Saccharomyces cerevisiae S288C: one gene and its partner. Changing the gene in region 1 together with any one later gene gives a genetic interaction. Each region holds a gene or a part of one and is shown on either strand. Other genes may lie near its edges.

Region 1 (2,795 bases):
GAACTGCGTATACGTGTATACTAGATCTGGAATACTGAACAGCGCTGGTGGCGTTAAAAACCGGCCTGCGATTAGAATCCCATCTTTGAAGAAACCAGCGCTGATGGCGGCTTTCTCGCCCGTATTTTACGAAACGTGCCAGAAGAGTGTGCTTAAGCTGCCCTATAAGCTAGTATTTGCCATAGCAACGACTAACGAAGTACTCGTGTACGACACGGATGTATTGGAGCCGTTATGCGTTGTGGGAAATATACATTACTCACCCATAACTGATTTAGCATGGTCTGAGGATGGCTCGACCCTACTAATCTCATCAACAGACGGATTCTGTTCGTATGTATCGATCGACACAGAAACGCAATTCGGTTCAAGGATAGAGCCGCCAGCGATGCATGCAGAGCCACTAGACACTGACGAGAGCGCGGTAGCGGCTAAGAACCAGCGCGAGGCAGGTGGGATCGTGAACATGCTGCCGGTGAAGAAGATCCCCTGCAATAGTAGCGATAGTAAAAAGAGGCGCATACATCCTACGCCAGTCGATTTGTGATTTTTAATATATTTAATGCGGTACATAAGAATGCCTAATCTAGTTTGCCAGCGAAGATATTTTCCATTGTGTGCTCAATGGACCCTGTGTTCCTGAGATCTTGCACGACTTTTTCCTGAGGCACATGTGGCGCCATCGTCATCACGATTTCAACCATGTCACTATTAACGGCTCTCTTTCGATCACTACCATGTCTGTTTAACCGAGCAACGCGTTCCTCCGGAGCCGATGGTACTGGCTCCGGAGAAGGGTCGTTGGTGGCGACCGAGGGCGCCGGTTTGGCATCCTGTACGGTTCGCGAGGGTACTTGCTTGGCGCCCCTGTGTTTCACGGTGTAAACAAACAAGCACACCATCGTCAGTATAAACACTATAGTCGATCCATCCATTTTTACTTTTGTGCGCGTGGGTAGCCGTGCCTCGTCTGTGTGTGTGGGAATGTATAAATGTGTCCCGAGTTATTATTCTAAAGCGGGCACCATTGTAGTAACTTATTGCGAAATTTCTGCTCTTCTCGTCTCGCTCAAAAATCGCGTTCAGGGTAAAAGGGGCGAAACAGAGGGCCAGATAGAAATTTCGAGAAAAGCGGGTCACCCCGCCCCTGCATTTTGATATGGCGTATTTGGGATTGCTTGCTCGAAAGTGTCTAAGTCCGGCTGGCGGGCCTGGCGCCCTCGCCGAAGGGAGATAGGAAGGGGCGGGGGTCCGGGCAGCGGCTATGGTGTCAGTTACCTAGGGAAGGAGAAGGGGGTAGAACCAAGGGGCTAGCACACTCACCCTGGGGCCCCCGTCTAGCCAAGCTTAAATATAAATACTAATGTAACTATAAATATAAGGATCTACCGTGTCATTGCACATCCACCCACCCGTCGATTAAAAAACCAAACAAAGCAAAGAATACAATAGCAACGCAAGATCAACACAATGGCTCTCATCGTGGCATCTTTGTTTTTGCCCTACCAACCACAATTCGAGCTTGACACCTCTCTCCCTGAGAACTCGCAGGTGGACTCATCTCTCGTGAACATCCAGGCTATGGCCAATGACCAACAGCAACAACGTGCGCTTTCTAACAACATCTCACAGGAATCATTGGTCGCGCCAGCACCAGAACAAGGTGTCCCCCCAGCAATCTCAAGGAGTGCCACCAGGTCACCCAGTGCTTTCAACCGCGCCTCGTCTACGACAAATACTGCCACTTTAGATGATCTTGTCTCTTCGGACATATTCATGGAAAACTTGACTGCGAATGCAACTACCTCACATACGCCAACAAGCAAGACTATGCTTAAACCCCGGAAAAATGGTTCCGTGGAACGATTCTTCTCCCCTTCTTCCAATATTCCCACGGATCGCATCGCATCGCCAATCCAGCATGAGCATGACTCCGGTTCGAGAATTGCTTCGCCAATCCAACAGCAACAGCAGGACCCCACGACCAACTTATTAAAGAACGTCAACAAGTCATTGTTAGTGCACTCACTGTTGAACAACACCTCACAAACTAGCCTAGAAGGACCCAACAACCACATTGTTACCCCGAAATCGAGGGCGGGCAACAGGCCTACTTCGGCGGCTACTTCTTTAGTTAATAGGACCAAACAAGGTTCGGCCTCCTCTGGATCTTCTGGGTCTTCTGCGCCACCTTCCATTAAAAGGATTACGCCCCACTTGACTGCGTCTGCTGCAAAACAGCGTCCCTTATTGGCTAAACAGCCTTCTAATCTGAAATATTCGGAGTTAGCAGATATTTCGTCGAGTGAGACGTCTTCGCAGCATAATGAGTCGGACCCGGATGATCTAACTACTGCCCCTGACGAGGAATATGTTTCTGATTTGGAAATGGATGACGCGAAGCAGGACTACAAGGTTCCAAAGTTCGGCGGCTATTCCAATAAATCTAAACTTAAGAAATATGCGCTGTTAAGGTCATCTCAGGAGCTGTTTAGCCGTCTTCCATGGTCGATCGTTCCCTCTATCAAAGGTAATGGCGCCATGAAGAACGCCATAAACACTGCAGTCTTGGAGAATATCATTCCGCACCGTCATGTTAAGTGGGTCGGTACCGTCGGAATCCCAACGGATGAGATTCCGGAAAATATCCTTGCGAACATCTCTGACTCTTTAAAAGACAAGTACGACTCCTATCCTGTCCTTACGGACGACGACACCTTCAAAGCCGCATACAAAAACTACTGTAAACAAATCTTGTGGCCTACGCTGCATTACCAGATTCCAGACAATCCGAA
Region 2 (2,514 bases), on another chromosome or scaffold:
ATTGTCTCACTTCATCTTACCACCCTCTATCTTATTGCTGATAGAACACTAACCCCTCAGCTTTATTTCTAGTTACAGTTACACAAAAAACTATGCCAACCCAGAAATCTTGATATTTTACGTGTCAAAAAATGAGGGTCTCTAAATGAGAGTTTGGTACCATGACTTGTAACTCGCACTGCCCTGATCTGCAATCTTGTTCTTAGAAGTGACGCATATTCTATACGGCCCGACGCGACGCGCCAAAAAATGAAAAACGAAGCAGCGACTCATTTTTATTTAAGGACAAAGGTTGCGAAGCCGCACATTTCCAATTTCATTGTTGTTTATTGGACATACACTGTTAGCTTTATTACCGTCCACGTTTTTTCTACAATAGTGTAGAAGTTTCTTTCTTATGTTCATCGTATTCATAAAATGCTTCACGAACACCGTCATTGATCAAATAGGTCTATAATATTAATATACATTTATATAATCTACGGTATTTATATCATCAAAAAAAAGTAGTTTTTTTATTTTATTTTGTTCGTTAATTTTCAATTTCTATGGAAACCCGTTCGTAAAATTGGCGTTTGTCTCTAGTTTGCGATAGTGTAGATACCGTCCTTGGATAGAGCACTGGAGATGGCTGGCTTTAATCTGCTGGAGTACCATGGAACACCGGTGATCATTCTGGTCACTTGGTCTGGAGCAATACCGGTCAACATGGTGGTGAAGTCACCGTAGTTGAAAACGGCTTCAGCAACTTCGACTGGGTAGGTTTCAGTTGGGTGGGCGGCTTGGAACATGTAGTATTGGGCTAAGTGAGCTCTGATATCAGAGACGTAGACACCCAATTCCACCAAGTTGACTCTTTCGTCAGATTGAGCTAGAGTGGTGGTTGCAGAAGCAGTAGCAGCGATGGCAGCGACACCAGCGGCGATTGAAGTTAATTTGACCATTGTATTTGTTTTGTTTGTTAGTGCTGATATAAGCTTAACAGGAAAGGAAAGAATAAAGACATATTCTCAAAGGCATATAGTTGAAGCAGCTCTATTTATACCCATTCCCTCATGGGTTGTTGCTATTTAAACGATCGCTGACTGGCACCAGTTCCTCATCAAATATTCTCTATATCTCATCTTTCACACAATCTCATTATCTCTATGGAGATGCTCTTGTTTCTGAACGAATCATAAATCTTTCATAGGTTTCGTATGTGGAGTACTGTTTTATGGCGCTTATGTGTATTCGTATGCGCAGAATGTGGGAATGCCAATTATAGGGGTGCCGAGGTGCCTTATAAAACCCTTTTCTGTGCCTGTGACATTTCCTTTTTCGGTCAAAAAGAATATCCGAATTTTAGATTTGGACCCTCGTACAGAAGCTTATTGTCTAAGCCTGAATTCAGTCTGCTTTAAACGGCTTCCGCGGAGGAAATATTTCCATCTCTTGAATTCGTACAACATTAAACGTGTGTTGGGAGTCGTATACTGTTAGGGTCTGTAAACTTGTGAACTCTCGGCAAATGCCTTGGTGCAATTACGTAATTTTAGCCGCTGAGAAGCGGATGGTAATGAGACAAGTTGATATCAAACAGATACATATTTAAAAGAGGGTACCGCTAATTTAGCAGGGCAGTATTATTGTAGTTTGATATGTACGGCTAACTGAACCTAAGTAGGGATATGAGAGTAAGAACGTTCGGCTACTCTTCTTTCTAAGTGGGATTTTTCTTAATCCTTGGATTCTTAAAAGGTTATTAAAGTTCCGCACAAAGAACGCTTGGAAATCGCATTCATCAAAGAACAACTCTTCGTTTTCCAAACAATCTTCCCGAAAAAGTAGCCGTTCATTTCCCTTCCGATTTCATTCCTAGACTGCCAAATTTTTCTTGCTCATTTATAATGATTGATAAGAATTGTATTTGTGTCCCATTCTCGTAGATAAAATTCTTGGATGTTAAAAAATTATTATTTTCTTCATAAAGAAGCTTTCAAGATATAAGATACGAAATAGGGGTTGATAATTGCATGACAGTAGCTTTAGATCAAAAAGGAAAGCATGGAGGGAAACAGTAAACAGTGAAAATTCTCTTGAGAACCAAAGTAAACCTTCATTGAAGAGCTTCCTTAAAAAATTTAGAATCTCCCATGTCAACGGGTTTCCATACCTCCCCAGCATCATACATCTTTTTTCAAAGAAACTTCAAATGCCTCTTTTATGCAAGGGGCAAAATCCTGAAATGACTTAAACTTAGCAGTTTCGTCTTTTTTCAAAGAGAATGGTTGAAGAAGAATTGTTTTGGACGCTTATTGACAATCTGTTGCATTGATAAAGTACCTACTATCCCAGACTATATTTGTATACAAGTACAAAATTAGGTTTGTTGAAACAACTTTCCGATCATTGGTGCCCGTATCTGATGTTTTTTTAGTAATTTCTTTGTAAATACAGGGAGTTGTTTCGAAAGCTTATGAGAAAAATACATGAATGACAGGTAAAAATATTGGCTCGAAAAAGAGGACAAAA

Evidence for each region. A genetic interaction does not mean that the proteins touch.
Region 2: mutations in CUE4 (region 1) and PAU8 together harm fitness more than expected from each alone (negative genetic interaction), as found in Saccharomyces cerevisiae (one large-scale study listed by BioGRID).

The regions. Positions count from the first base shown.
Region 1 is NC_001145.3:69,154-71,948, forward strand, and holds CUE4 (Cue4p), read right to left. Parts: upstream 936-2,795; coding exon 582-935; downstream 1-581. Other genes in the region: CAC2 (Cac2p), read left to right, coding at 1-547; YML100W-A (uncharacterized protein), read left to right, coding at 985-1,158; TSL1 (trehalose 6-phosphate synthase/phosphatase complex subunit), read left to right, coding at 1,471-2,795.
Region 2 is NC_001133.9:1,226-3,739, forward strand, and holds PAU8 (seripauperin PAU8), read right to left. Parts: upstream 945-2,514; coding exon 582-944; downstream 1-581. Other genes in the region: YAL067W-A (uncharacterized protein), read left to right, coding at 1,255-1,482.